Linked DNA regions of Cricetulus griseus. The protein of the gene in region 1 interacts with the protein of each later gene in a biochemical or structural test. Links are inferred from orthologs where the notes say so. Each region holds a gene or a part of one and is shown on either strand. Other genes may lie near its edges.

Region 1 (7,767 bases):
CAAATTATCTGGAATGAACACTCAACTCTACATCACATACATTTAAAGGACAGATTCACTCAAGCCTCTTTCTAGCATTCATTACCTCCATTTAGTGTAAGCAAATATGAACTGTCTGTATCAGGGGACTACAGTGTCACTGGGTCCTTGGCAGTTCTCAATCATACTCTGCATTAAGGGCTCATAATGATAAGTTTGAATGTGGAAGAGTGTCACTTTGATGGCTACAGATGACACATATTAATAAAATAAAGTGTAACAAAAGCATTGACCTTGAAAATGATAATGACATAAATACAATTTATCTATCATTCAGTGAGTTCCACTTGTTACTGTATAAGAAACCACACACCACACACACACACACACACACACACACACACACACTTATTAAATTGTCATACTCAACTTTGTCATGCCTACAACCAGCCCCCAAAATCTTGGTGGCTCCTGCAACAAATTTTAATTTTTGTTCACGTTGTATGTACTTCTTTAGGCCTTTTCACTGCAGGATCTGGGCTTCGGGAGCACTGCCTGGCAATATGTCTTTCTAGTAGTGGAAAGGAAGTCAATGATATAGAAACTCGCCATGCCTTAAGTTTCTGTTTGGATCGGTCTGCATCACATAGCTGGTAATGGACAAGGGTGTGTGATTCCCCACTCAGGAAAAAAACAACTACTGGAGACAATAAGAAAATGCCGGCCCTGCAAGATAAATACTAATTGGACACCTCTCCTCTGGAATAATTTGACTAAGTTCCTTGTAGAGACCAGAAATATCCCTTCTACTTGGGGTGACAGGAGAAGGCTTTGGAGAAATGTGAGCTTGGTTTTGAAGGTTAGGTACAGTGTTGATGGGGAGGAGAAAGAGCAAAAGGAACACCAGAGCAGAGGTGGGAGAGATTTAGTTAAGCAGCCTCAGTCACAGAGTTGGTGATTGATAAAAGTGGTGTAGATGGGTGTTCTGATCTAGGGAAAGAGCTGAATGTGAGGCCAAGGAGTTTCAGCGCCCCTGTCTGGAAACTGGTAGACATCTTTGGGCAAGAGACTGCCATGAGAGCAGGGAAACCACTAAGGTCCTACATGTCCAGAACGAAGTAGGAGTCTTGAAGCAGGATGGTGATCATGGGAAGAACAGCAAGGTCAGACCTGGAAATTCAGAACCTGGGGCTTAAGAAATTAGCCTGGCTTCCATCATCTACCCAAAGCTCCCAAAATAATACAGTAATTAAGCCCATATTTAAAAAAAAAAAATGGTGTCACCAGAAAACCCAGCCCAAAGCTTTGCACATTAGTTGAGATTTATGAGTGTTCTGCCTATAAGTATGTTTATGTGTATGTATGTTTGTACGTGCACCAAGGGTATTCGTGGTGCCCTTAAAAATCTGGAAGGTGTTGGATCCCCCGGATCTGTAGTTACAGACAGTTGTGAGCTGCCATGTGGGTGATGGGAATCCTGGCCCTCTGCAAGTGCAGCAAAATTCACTGTGTAGCCCAGGATGATCTTGACCCTCCTGCCCCAGCCTTCCTGAATGCTGGGATTTGAGATATAAGCCAACACACTGAGTTTATACAACCCTGGAGCTTTTTAAACAACAGCTGGGATAGTGGTGCACATCTTTAATCCCAGCATTCTGGAGGCAGAAGCAGGCTGGTGGATCTCTGTGGAGCCCTGGGCCAGCCAGGGCTCCATAGAGAACCTGCCTTGTAAAAGAAAGTAAAAGTCATGCAAATTAAAGCTTCCAGACGAGATCCCACCCCTCTGGCAAGAGGTGCCGACCCCTCTTCCTTGCATTTGAACAGGCTCCAGCTGTCCAAGAGCTCTGAGCTTCGGGGAGGTGAGAAACCTAAACTACAACCACAGCCCACGCCTGAGCAGCTAGAATGAGGACTAATGGCCAATTTCCACATGGAAGCCTGACATCCATCAGGTGGCCATCTCCAGCAAGCACCTTAAAAACTGAGCTCTCCAGCTGTACAAAGGTGTCTCAACGAACCAGATAAAAATAGCTCTGTGAAAATGCCTTGCAGTGTGGTAAGCATCATTAAAACGAACCTATTTAAAATTTTTCTTCTCTAGGGTCAAGGTTGGATAACTAATGGATTTGAACGCTCCTTGATTTAAAAAAAAAAAATTCATGAAAACTCTAAACTGTATTGTGATCAATGTTAATCTGTTCCAAGAGGGTTTGTCAAGGAAATAATAATTCACTTTGGCCATTAACCAAAAAAAAAAAAAAAAAAAAAAAAAAAAAAAAAAAGGTGCGGCCCCTGGGAAAGTGGTCTCTCTCCGGAGGACCCCATTTTGGGGAGACGCCTGCAGGAGGCCTGGGGGTCCAGCGTGTCCCGCCTGGCGAGCCAACGAGGGGGAACTGAAAAGCGGACAAGGACACACATACCGCTTCGCCTCGGCCCGCGGGGACAGAGGGAGGAGACCCCGAACTAGACAAAGGCTGCAGCCCCGGGAGGCCGGGGTGCGCGTGCGCCACGGAGCACGCGCGTGCGCGCGGCGGTCAGTGCGGCGGCCCGAGGCGTGGCGGGACCCGGGAAAGGAAGCGAGGCGAGGAGCGAGCCGGGCGGTGCGGGGAGGGGAGGGCTGCGGATGCTCGCGCGCGCCCCCTGGTGGACGGAGGAGGAGGCGCCCCCTCGCAGGCCTCACTGCCCGCCCCTCCCCTCGAGAGGTTCGCGCTCCCGTGGCTCGCGCCTGCGCCGCCCGCCGCCCTCGGGAACGCGCTCTCTCGGCGGCGCGCGCTCCCAGTCTCCACCACCCACCAGCTCCGGCTCCAGCAGCAGCGCCGCCGCCACCGCCCACCTTCTGCCGCCGCCGCCACAGCCACAGCCACCTTCTCCTCTGCTGTCCTCTTCTGTCCTCGCCTTCTGTCGATCATCAGGTAAGTGCCCCGCTCTGAAATCCCGTCCCCATCTGGCCCTGGGCGCCATCCTCCTGTCGCCCCTTGCCCCAGAGATGGATTTAGGGCGCTGGACATCAGTCAGGCGCAACGACGGGGGGCCTCTCTGCGCCCTCGGCGCTGGGGAGCTGGGAAGGAAACGCGTGCAAGAGATGCACGCACGCGGGTGAATGCGTGTGTCTGTGTGCTGGGGTCCGCACCATCCGTTCCACGCAAACGGGGGGGGGGCGTCTGTGCCATCAGGGTGGGGCGCGGATGGCGGTGACCCAGGGGAGGGGGCTGCTCTGTGCTCTGGATCTCAGCCTTTTGCCGCAATGGGCGTGTGCGTGTGTGTGTGTGTGTGTGTGTGTGTGTGTGTGTGTGTGTGTGTGCGTGCGTGCGTACGTGCGTGTGTGTGTGCGTGTGTGTGTGTGTGTGTGTGTGTGTGTGCGTGTGTATGGGGGTCCAACGATGATCTCCGAAACTGAACCTGAAATCAGATTTCTCTGCTCCCGATTGCCATCAGTCCCAAGGAAGGTGTGGGTGGATTGGGTCCTAGAAAAGATGACTGCCTGCATGCCTCTCCCTGACAGTGATTCTGACGGGGCCTTCACTGGCCCTGATTTTAGGCGGTGTCCCGCCCCCTCCCCTTTTCCTCCTTCAGAAGCCGGCAGGGGACATTTGGGGGCTGGGAGAAATCGGGAGAATGGGGAGGGGTCCAGGCGCTGTCACTTTAGCCGCCCTTCCCCCTGCGCGCGCTTGGTACGGTGACAGGGGCAGCGCCGTGCCCGAAAGAAGGTAGTGCGCGGATTAGAGGCAGGGGTCACCTGGCCTCGCGGTGTCAGCGAGCTTGCCAGCCGCGGTTCCCCGCTCGAGGGCTCCTCGCACAGTCACAGCCAAGCACAGACCTGCGCGAGGGCTGCAGGTGCATTTCAGGGCGGATTCCTTTCTCTGCGTTCTGCGCCGGGCTCCCGGCATGTGCGCTCCCTGCCGGAGGCACGGGCTGGCGCGCAGGGCTCGCCCCTCACTGCGGCAGTGGGTGTGGACCTGGGTGGGCGAGGAGGGGGAAGAGTAGGATGTGTCTCCTCTCGTTGCTACCCCTCCCCCGGTTTTTTCCTCCTCTGAACGCGAGGTGCCATCTTTTCGCGGCAAGTCACGTCTCTGTCGTAGCATGCCAAGTGCTGTGGTCGGGCTTTGGAGGACCCGGCTGGGACTCGCGTTAAGGAGCAAAGGGTGATGAACGTGGACATCTTGGCATTCAGTTTCTGCGTCGTGCGTACCCGGTCGTTCACCTGGGGTCTTCTAAGAGAGCTCGCTGCTTTGTTCGTCGAGGTTGTGTGATTTATAATCTGCGCTCCTAGCCCGTTTTTTTTTTTCCTTTCATTCGACGACAATATTTACCTACGCGCTACGCTCAATTCCATCCTTTTTTTCACTACCCGTTTTAGACCCTTTGTTGGATCTACAGACTTGCTGGGGTCTAGTCACAGCCCCCATGGCATGCATGGAATGGACGTGACCCTGAGCAGCCTTCTCCCCCAGTTCCGCCCAGAGCCAGGGATCCTTAGCTGAACCACACGGGTGGGATTCTAGGTAGACTCTCGTGTGCAGGTGTCCTCAGAGGAACCACATCCCTCCACGCCCAGCGCATCCTGGGGACAACACCCCAACATGTTTCACTGCTAGGGGCGCCAGTTTACCCTTAGGAAGGAGAGATTCGGCAAGCCCGGCTTCCCCACCACCTCCTTTGAGCCCTCTTGCCTCTCCCGGTGGGAGAGTGTAAGAAGAGGGCATGAGATCCCCTGGGATGCTGCGGCCACACCCATCCCTCCCAACCCACCGGGAGAGGGCGGGTTAGTGGTTGCCATGGGAACCATACCCGCCAGAGGAGGAACCTCTGGGCGTTACCCCATCCTTTACTCAGCGGAGAGTCAGAATCCTGGGGTAGTCTGACCGTGCCAGCTTGTCTTATTGGAAGACGTGGGGAAGGAGCTCCTCATCCCTAACACGGGCATCATTCTCTTTGGCACTGGCAACCGTAGCTATCCAGATCGGTGCTTCTGGTGTATTTTTATTATAGGCATACTGAGTGGTATTATTTTGTTAATATTGTTTAAATGGGGAGCTCTCACTTAAAAGCCCACCCTTACAACCTCCCTGGAAACCGTAGAGGGATGGAAAGCGAACAGGTCCCAGCCTCCCCCATCCTGCAGTAAGCAGTTTTCCTAGTTAATTCTACCATTGAATACTGGTGCAGGCGTGCAGTTTTGAGACCGACCGAGCACCTTAAAGGCCGAATCGCCCACGGGGGCCGCCCAGCTTGATCTAGGGGTGGAACGCCCTCTCCCGGTCAGACTGCGGCCTGAGGCTGTGGCGTCATGGCTGGGCCCGCCCGACAGAGATTTCCAGCAGCTGAAGGATGGGTTCAAATATGACCGATCCCTGCTAGGATTCTCGGGGTGCACGCGGAAAAGGGAAGTCTGAAAGGGAGGGTGTCTATTGCAACCAGTTGGGCAAAGGTGTCACAGCCCTGTAAGGGGGCGGGGGAGAACATTTCACCCAGTGAAGAAACAAAGCACAGACCACGCGTCTTCGAACTCGCTCCATTTTGCACTGTGTTGGCAGTCGGGTGAGGTATTGAATTGTTAATAAAAGATCATCAAGGGTTACTGCATGGCCTTCTGCGGAGATAGAGAGGCTCCGTTCCTGGCTCGGCCCTTACTTTAACAAACCAGCTTCACTTCAGAGCTAGAGTTTGTGCTGAAGCCGGGACTGTGGAGCACTGAGCCAACCTGGGCTCATCCGAAAGGGTTCAAGTACCGAACGAGAAAATTTCAACCACCAGCTTCAGCAGGTGGGTGAGCGCTTTTATGTCCCAGAGGCCCTATTCACCCTCTGGCGCTCAGGAACTTGTAATTCCAAGTCTTTTTTCCGGCTGGTTAGCATTGGATGGATGGATGATGGGGAACAGACTAACCATTCCCTCCAGAACTTCTTTGGCTCTGCCGGGCTCTTGAAGAATACCCAAATTTTGCAAGATCCCTGCCCTGCCCCTTCAACTGTCGGTCTCACAGCAGTAAAGGAAGTATGGACGTTGGTAGGTTAATTCTGCGGATACAATTCTGAGATGTCATCTTGTGCTTCATGCTGCTGCTTGTGTCCACCGAGTAAGAACTGCTTCTCTACTTGCCATTTGCAAAGCTTCTCTAAATAAATGGTTATCTAGCTAAGCGTGCCCATCCCTCCCCCCAGCTGCCAGGCTGGCTACAATGCCTGCTGATTTTTCTGCACTGTTTGCCTCGCTGGCAGATGTGTATAGAGTACAGCACTAACCTGGCTTGGCTTCGGGGCTCATCTTTGAATGATCTGAGAGCTTAGCTTGGCTAGGATTTTGTTTTGTTTTGTTGTTGTTATTTGTACCAGTGACAGTCCATGGTGTGTCTCTCTGGCCCTGCACAGCCCCTGTCTACACACTTGCATGGGTGGTGGAAGGGTGTGGTTTTTAAGTGGCTTCTAGTGTCAGGCTCTGTTCCCTAGAGAGGAACAAAGGAAGCAGATAGTGCCCAGGAGTTGCAAGGAGAAAACTTAGTAATGGTTTAATTGAGGTAAAGTCAGGCTTGCTCCCATTGGGAAAATAAGCCCTTGTGCTGAGCAAGCTCTTTGACCCACTCGTCCTTGGAGGGCTAGACAGGGCTCTGATGCCCTTTATGTAGACTGACTTTTCCTTCTCCCTTTGTAACATCAACACATCCAGTTCATTTGTTTAAAATTTTCAGGAATGTTGTTTTATTCCGTCTCCCCTCTGCATGTTGTACATGGCTTTGGTGACTCCCTGGCTTTGTGTGTGAATATGCATTCATTTCCCAGTTGAATATATGAACCTTTCCAACTGTGCCCTCTCTTCCTATTTATTTAGTTAAGATCTTCCTTGATTCCCCTCTTGAAAAGGAATCACTTCAAAGGAGATTGTAAAAGAACTACTCTTACTGACCTAACACAGAACTACACATGTAGTAGGTACCTGGCCCATCATCTTTTAGCAGATAAGTGGATAAAATGGAGGATAGATGGAGGTCGAGAGGGCATCAAAGAGAAAGTGGAGTGGGCAGCAGCATATCCAAGGTCACAGCATCGGGAAGCTTGGGAACAAATCCAATCTATTTTGTCTGTGTGTCCCATTGGTGGCCAGACAGCTACCTGTGCTCTGCTTCAGGTCCCATAGCTTCCGCCAGAGGCTCACCTGCCCCTTGTTGGCGAAAAGGGGAAGAAGAGTGGAGAGGGGGATATCCCACTGCACCAGCCCACCTGTGGGGTGGCCATGGTCCTGTTGCAGGTGACTGGGATGGAGGTGGGGAACCTCTCTCTCTCTGCTCCCTCTGTCCTCACCCTGTTTTCATCAGCACTTCAGAGATCGTCATTTCTCTTCACCCTCAGAAACACCCATCTGACTATTCCACACACAGGAGTTAGGGGTACCCGGCCAGGTCAGGCGAGAAGTCCCTAGCTGATCAATGAATCTTTTCCTGGAAAATCGTGGTCCTCAGATGGTGACTGAGATGTTTGGAAAGTAGTTGGGGGGGTGCTGTTACTGGCATCTTGTGGGTAGAAGCCAGAAGTGCTGCTAAATATTACAGGACAGACCCCAGATGTCACTGGCACTGGCCTGGGGAAGCCCTCTTGTACCTCAGTTGTGTCTATTGCACGTCTTCTAGGAGTGCTGCTGCTGGAGATGACCTCAGATGGGCCTGGCTGCCTCACTTGCAGAATGCTAACTGTTATCATCCCAGACAGAGAAGCTGCAGTCCAGAGAGCTCTCATAGCCAACTAAGGATGCACAGCATGTGACACAGGGATAAGCCCAATGGGGCTTAATAGACCT
Region 2 (7,810 bases), on another chromosome or scaffold:
AGTTGCAACTCCTTTAGGGCCCCATCTATGAAGTGTAACAGTTCATTGAATGAATGCATGCTTAGCAAATGTTCTAAGTACCATGCTAAGAACCAAGGACTCAAAAAAACAACAAACAAACAAAACAGAATAATACAATATAGCCCTTGCCTTCAGGATGTAAGACAGGTTCACAAACAGAGTGGTATGTAGTACATATACTAAGACAAGTGGGAACAGGAGCTATGGGAACCCAGGTGGTTCCATATACATTGCTCTGCTGGGTGTGTACACAGTCCTGCACCTGTCTGGTGCTCACAATTGAAACGGTTACCTCAGGTTTTACAAACGAAGAGCTGAAAGTCAAACAAGTTTAGAGTTTTGCCTGATACCTCAGATCATTTATATCCCTTCTGCTGTGTGGATACACAAGGAAACAAGAGAAAGGCTGCAAAGTGGTCACTGTGTCCTGTGATCATCAAGGCTCTTTCCTCTGACTAGACTATGCATGACTCATGTTTGGAAGCAGCCTAATGCCCTAAATGCCCTTGTTCGTTTCCATTTTATGAATGAGCGCCCCACCCCTACTCCCCACCCCTGTGCTGTGGATTGAACCCAGGACTTCACAAATGATGGACAAACCTGATACCGACTCAACTACACCTTCAGCATCTCCAGATGAACCTTAATTCTCCTAATCAGATGACAAGAACTGGGAAGAGAGAGCTTGTCAAATTTATTGTGCTCTTTTCTGTATCTTCTCAGTCAGATGCCACTAGCTACTTTGTAGTTAGATAGTTGCCGTCACATGGTACTATGTTATGTGTTCAAACAGTCCTGTCCTTAAGAAGAGGGGGGGGGGAAGGCCGGTAAATCTTTTCCAAGTGATGACTAACCTGGGTTTCTTAAGGTCATGACAACCAGCACCTAGTCTCTGCCTGATGGATTTTCTCGGTCCGAGAAAGCAGAAAGAACTTTTAGAAAGGCCTGTCATCGTACAAAACGGAAATGAAACGCTAGAAGGAGGAATCTCAGTGAAGCCAAGTCACTAGTCCAAGGATGCACAGGGTCTCCTGGATGCTGCTGGGGGGCTCTGGGTTCTGTGCTCCCCCGCAGCAGGCATGCAGGAGGTCGTGGCGAGAGCTCACTAATAGTGACGGCGCTGATGACGGAGCCTCCGACCGGCGGGTGGCAGGTGAGAAGTGGCAGATTCTCGCGTCGGCCCTCACGGATTGGCTGTGCGGCTCAGCGCTGCGGGACAGTTTACGAGATCGTCATCCTGGGGCTCAGGCTCTGTAGTTCTCGGTCCTCGGCCTCCCACAGGGGGCGAAAGCCTGCCATCTCGGCCGGGGACCAGCAGGAGGCGGTCTGCTGTAAGGGGGTCTCGGGCGATCAGCCCCAGCAACCCAGCCCGCCCGAAGCTCCCGGGAGGCGACGCTGGGAGGACAGCGGAGGCCGCCAGGAACAGCCGCTTCTGAAGGACTGCTTGAACCTCATCCTCCCTAAATCGGAACATCTGCACCATGGGCGTTCGCGTGACACAGGTGCAGTTGAGACACTCCCTGTCACCGCACCCTGCGTCCCTGCTTTGGACCTTCAGAATCCGGGGCGTTGGCTCGAAACCAGGAACGAAAATGGGCCTCTGCTTCTAGCCCAAACTCGACAGGTGAGGGAATCCGGCACGGCAGGGGGAGGGGATCAGACTTGGCTTCACTCCTCGTGGCCACCTACCCTGACGAGGTGTGGTCTTTAGACCTCCCCGCCCCACGGTGGGCGGGCTGAGCGTGCGGGTCCCGCCTCCTGCCTATAAGAGTGGTGCGGCACTGCAGCTCCGCAGATCTCACCGAGACCCGTGACCCCGACTCAACGTGAGACGCACAACCCAGACTCATCATGGTGAGTGAGGCCCCCCCTGGGATCTCTCTGGTCCTGTAAATGTCCCGCTCCTTTGGAGAACTCCCTCTAGAGAAGCTGGGGGGCCCTTTACTTGGCTCTCCGAGTCTCTGGGAGATGCAAGAGTTTTGCACTTCCCCCCACCCCTCCTGGTGACTTTGGCCTAGTGTGTTGTCCACCTTCAGAGTGTGACCGGGGGATGATGTTTCTTCACTAGCAGAGAGGAGCCCTACTGTATTGCCCTCCGGCCGAACCAAGAGTCTTGTGTCCCAACCCTCCTGAGGGGAGTCACGCGGTCCTGCACCCAGTCCTCTCCTCGGGCGGCGGAAGACCTGCTTGGCTGTCCCCGTCACCCATCTCTATCCCCTGAGTCCCTGGGACTGACCGAACACGTGCTTGGCGCCTGTCGGTAGAAGGGGTTACTTAGTACCGCACCCCGTCTTCCTCGGTGTGCCTCCTTCCCACTTACACCCCCATACGTGACTCAGCACCCCCTTCTGAGCCAGAAAGGGTGGCGGGAATGGGGTTTGGCCTCAGGAGGCCAGCGGGCCCCTCCTACGGGAGAGCTGGTGCTAAGAGGACGGGCAGAGACAGCTGGCGCTGATCGACAGCCCCGGCCGAGGCCAGGTTGGCGGGGGAGGGGAAAGAGGTGTCTGTAGGGGGTTGTATTTATAGCCCCGGAGCGGGGGCAGAAACCCAATCCGGGCTTTCGGCTGGGAAGTAACTGGAAAGACTCCAATGGGAGAGCAGACGTAGGGCCCAGGTACAGATGGCTCTCCCCTTGCCTGGTGCGTGAAGCAAGGCGGGTTCCCTCAAGGGCCTCCTGGCAGGTTCCACTTCCTTTTCTGGGTACTTAGAAATTGCAAAAACACCCCCCACACACACACACCTCCCGCCGCCGCCGCGTGCGCGCGCGCACGCGCGCCACTTGGTTGTGGGAGGGTGCTGCAAGGGTTAAATTATGGACTGCCTGGCCGGAGCTTCAGACGGCCAGTGCACCAGTATACCTGTATTGCCTGCACCTGCCGTCAGCGCTTACCCGCATTATTGCTGCTATTTCCGTGCGGGCTGAGGCGGAGGATGGAGGTGGTGAAGCCATACAGAGTGTGGGGGTGGAGGTGGGGAGAGGAGCCAGATGGGATTGATTCCTCAAGGCCAGATGGGATTTAAAGGTGGTGGGGGTTACCCCATTCTGATGGCCAGAATGGTCAGCTGATACCAGATGGAAGGTTGAGACACCTCTTTGCCCACAGGAAAGAAGGGGAGAGGGTTACGAGAAATTTTATCTTCAAGGCAAAGATTAACCAAGTAGAGTGCTGGCTATAAACTGTAAAAGATATTTTAGAAGCTGCATGGACTGGAGGCAGCTGGAAAGCCTGTCTGTCTGTCTGTCTGTCTGTCTGTCTGTCTGTCTGTCTCTCTCTCTCTCTCTCTCTCACACACACACACACAACACACACACACACACACACACACACACACACACACACACACATCCTGTTATAGTTGCTGCAGCCCCGCCTGTCATGTGTGCATGCCCTCCCTGTCCTCTCTGAGTGTCCTGTGGAAGTTAACAGGATTATACAGCTCTCACTTGATAAATTTTCTAAGGGGTTGGTCTGCCCTGCTGGACACCTCAATCAGGGAAGCCCTGTGCTAAGGAGACTGGAGAGGCTGCCAGCTGCTTCTGACCTCTCAGCTCCAACCTGACTGTACTTTTACCAACTGAGTAATCTTAGCTAATAGGTGACAGGGTGGGAGAGGACCTCATCTAGTGGGGAGTTGTAGATGTGGCACTTACGCTGTGACCTTCTCTGTATCCCTCAGCGTGAGTGCATTTCAGTCCATGTGGGGCAGGCAGGTGTCCAGATGGGCAATGCCTGCTGGGAGCTCTACTGTCTGGAACATGGGATTCAGCCTGATGGGCAGATGCCCAGCGATAAGACCATTGGTGGAGGGGATGACTCCTTCACCACCTTCTTCTGTGAAACTGGAGCTGGAAAACATGTGCCTAGGGCAGTCTTTGTGGATCTGGAGCCTACTGTAATCGGTAAGCAGGGGTGTGGAGGGGCACTTTTGAGGAAAGTCGAGTGTCTCTTGCAGAGTGTCTAGACTAGGTTTTTGTGATCTTGAAGCCCCTTGACTTTATTTGATGATGAAGATGGATGCTGACCCCAGGCTGGTAGAAGAATGAGCTAGTTCTTCCATGTATCTGCCATTCTTGAGGGTGGGGAGGAGGAGGGTCTCTGCTGAGCATGGCCTTGTGGTTTTTGCCTCAGCAATGTGATATTTATATATATATATATATATATATATATATATATATATGGTCTTTTAGATGAGATCCGAAATGGCCCATACCGACAGCTCTTCCACCCAGAGCAGCTTATCACTGGGAAAGAAGATGCCGCCAACAACTATGCCCGTGGCCACTACACCATTGGCAAGGAGATCATCGACCCAGTGCTGGACCGGATCCGCAAACTGGTGAGACTATAGCTTGGCAGCGAGGGAGCTATGGAGTCAATGTTCAGGAAGTTTTCAGATCCATTTCTGGGATCGTCTCTAGCTGTATGTTTTAGAATTCAATGCTGTTTAGGGGGACATTCAGTCTTTGCCCTAACTTCTGAGATACTTTAGGCCTCATAAAACTAGAAGAAAATTCCTTAGGCTTCTCCCCTACCTACATTGCTCTTTCTTCCTTGCCTTTCAGTCTGATCAGTGCACAGGACTTCAGGGCTTCCTAGTATTCCACAGTTTTGGAGGGGGCACCGGCTCTGGCTTCACCTCCCTGCTGATGGAGCGGCTTTCTGTTGACTATGGCAAGAAGTCCAAGCTGGAGTTCTCCATCTACCCAGCTCCACAAGTGTCCACAGCTGTGGTGGAGCCCTATAACTCCATCCTGACCACCCATACCACCTTGGAGCACTCAGACTGTGCCTTCATGGTGGACAACGAGGCTATCTATGACATCTGCCGCCGTAACCTGGACATTGAGCGTCCAACCTATACAAACCTCAACCGCCTCATCAGCCAAATCGTCTCCTCCATCACAGCTTCCTTGCGCTTTGATGGGGCCCTCAATGTGGACCTGACAGAGTTCCAGACCAACCTGGTGCCCTACCCTCGAATCCACTTCCCCCTGGCCACCTATGCACCCGTCATTTCTGCAGAGAAGGCCTACCATGAGCAGCTGTCAGTGGCAGAGATCACCAATGCCTGCTTTGAGCCTGCCAACCAGATGGTGAAGTGTGACCCTCGGCATGGCAAGTACATGGCCTGCTGCCTGCTCTACCGTGGGGATGTGGTGCCCAAGGATGTGAACGCCGCTATCGCTGCCATCAAGACCAAGCGCAGCATCCAGTTTGTGGACTGGTGCCCCACAGGCTTCAAGGTTGGTATCAACTACCAGCCACCCACTGTGGTGCCTGGGGGTGACCTGGCCAAGGTGCAGCGTGCAGTGTGCATGCTGAGCAACACCACTGCCATTGCTGAGGCCTGGGCCCGCCTGGACCACAAGTTTGACTTGATGTATGCAAAGAGGGCTTTTGTACACTGGTATGTGGGTGAGGGCATGGAGGAGGGGGAGTTCTCTGAGGCTCGAGAGGACATGGCTGCCCTGGAAAAGGATTATGAGGAAGTAGGCATCGACTCCTATGAGGATGAGGATGAGGGAGAAGAATAAGCAGCCGCTTGGAGCCGGTTTTCATTGTTTATTGCAAAATCCTTTCGAAATAAAGTCTCCCTGCACGGTTTCTCGTCCCCCTTGGTGACTGCTTGGCTTCTGCTGTGGCTGCTACTTCCCGCTATTTGCTGCTCACGACCTTTTACCATTTCATGCCTGAAGGTGAGCCCTGTATTGAGCCCCAGAAAGTATGATGTAAAGTCCTAAGGACACCCAAAATAGGAAAGAAATGAGGACCAAATCCTGGACTTGTCTGTCTAGCTACAAACTATTGCAAGATCCAAGTCTTCACTTTTCCTAATAATAATTGATGTCTGGTGGGTTTTTTGGTTTTTTTTTTTTTTTCCAAGTGTCTAGTGGCTTCTGTGTTGGATGATCGACTGCTTTTGCTCTTGCTGCTGCTGCTTCACTCAACAGCTTTAGAAGCAAGGCCTGGCCCAAGCTTCGTTGTACACTGAGGGTTTAGGAATGGGGACTGGGCCAGCCCAAAGTTCCTGGGCATAGAGCCACCCTCACAAACTTGGGGGATGGGCGGGAACAAGGGCAATCTCCTGGTTGTTTGTGCCATCACACCTCCAGCAGCTTTGCAGAGCTTGCTGTCTATCTTGCTTACTGGGGCTTGAGCTATGCTATTAAAAGTCAGGACGTCTCCCCTCTGTTTGTTTTCCTTTGGCCTCAGCCTCTGCTTGGGGTGGAAGCCTGCCTGGACCCTAGGGAAAAATTATACTTCGCTAATAGGCACCCTAGGACTCAGGTTGACGTCAGCATGTAGAGGTGGGCATGGCTTGGGAGGAAGCTTCAAAATCTCCAGGACAGCCAACCCTGCCCTTGCCTCCCCTCCCTGGTGATTCAGGGACGCAGTGCCCTTCCCTGAGGAACTGGTTTAAAGCCCAGCTAAGGCTGGGTGCCTGTTTACTCAGCAAATGGGGCAGGAAGTGCCTGCTGGATACTGCCACAGGCCACTAGCCTCATCAATTATTAACTGTGTATGAGCTAGAATAGTCAGGGAGACTGGAAAAAATGGAAGCCAGTTCCACTCCCTTTGTCCTCAGCTGAGGGAGACCTGTAGGCTTCCATCCAGAGGTCATGGAGTTGGCAAACCTGCTGGGCTGGGCTGTTCTAAGCTACCCACCTTCAGAATGAGTGACAGAACTAGTGGAGTGTGCTTTCAAAGGGACCCTGGTCCCACTTCTCAGTACAGGCAGAAAACCAGCTTAAGCTGGAGACTCTGGTTTTGACCAAGGGAAGCTTAAAGACCTGTCTGCTGCCAAGCAGTCAAATCTTAAGAACTCTATCTGCCTTTGCCATCACACCAGTCCCTCTTCCCAGGCTATTCCCTTGGAAATGGTAACTAAACGGTTCGTTCTTTTTCTCTCCAGACACAATGACCTAAAATACACGTTTTCACTTTATTCTCCTGTTTATGTATCTCCTGCTACCAGATTTGGAGGCAGAACATGATGTGCGCCCAGCAGTCCAGCTTTGAGCCCTACTTTGTTTCACTCTCCCCCAACTCACCCTAGGCTCCTAGCCCAGGTACTGGGATAAGAGAGCAGAAAACACAAGGACCCACCATCCTTGCCCCTAACTATAACAGCCATCCTGGATAGAATGGAAGGAGTTCCAGTGAAGGATGAAAACTTCTTCAAGGTCATCTTCCCAACATATCAGATTTGGGTGGTGTGCTGGCCAGGAGCAGGAGGCTGCATTGCCTCCAACTGACTGAGGAGGACAGGAATGTGAGGGCGCTGCTGGGGGTCCACAGTCATCATAGAGCCCAAAAGCTGTCGCAATGCCGAAGAATGCCTGTGGGAGATGGAGGGCAGAGGACTGGAGGAGGACGCCTAGACTAAGGTTGCTAAAATTCCAACTTGGCTGGCTCTAGGCAATAGTCTACAGTGCTTAGTGTCCCTCCTGCTGCTCACCTGGGGCTTTGTGGGATGCTGAGTTCATTCTGCACAGCAAGAGCCACACTGTCACCCTTCTGGAACACCATATCATAAGGGCCTTCCCCAAACATCATGGCATAAAGCACACAGCCTAGGGACTGAGCATAATTTGGTTAGTTTCTGGAAGAGGAAAAATGGTATCCCATTTATTGCTATGGTAAAAGGAGACCATTTAAGCTAAAAATATGCCAACCTCACCCAAAGGAACTGTGTTTGCAGGAGGCCTCTTCAGCCCCTGCTTAGCTATTGCCTCCAGCAGTTGACCCAGTTCAGCCACAGAGATGACACCACTTCCTGAGAACAG

Evidence for each region.
Region 2: the proteins of microtubule-associated protein tau (region 1) and Tuba4a are reported together in a solved structure, tested with the Homo sapiens proteins (2 studies listed by BioGRID, with this or other methods). The link is inferred for Cricetulus griseus from reciprocal best matches to the Homo sapiens genes MAPT and TUBA4A.

The regions. Positions count from the first base shown.
Region 1 is NC_048600.1:117,266,492-117,274,258, forward strand, and holds the start of microtubule-associated protein tau, read left to right. Parts: upstream 1-2,761; 5' UTR 2,762-2,891; intron 2,892-7,767. UniProt on the Homo sapiens protein: Promotes microtubule assembly and stability, and might be involved in the establishment and maintenance of neuronal polarity.
Region 2 is NC_048595.1:428,368,950-428,376,759, reverse strand, and holds Tuba4a (tubulin alpha-4A chain), read left to right. Parts: upstream 1-2,812; 5' UTR 2,813-2,952; coding exon 2,953-2,958; intron 2,959-3,699; coding exon 3,700-3,922; intron 3,923-4,210; coding exon 4,211-4,359; intron 4,360-4,585; coding exon 4,586-5,557; 3' UTR 5,558-5,627; downstream 5,628-7,810. Other genes in the region: Stk16 (serine/threonine-protein kinase 16), read right to left, coding at 7,225-7,363, 7,483-7,604. UniProt on the Homo sapiens protein: Tubulin is the major constituent of microtubules, a cylinder consisting of laterally associated linear protofilaments composed of alpha- and beta-tubulin heterodimers.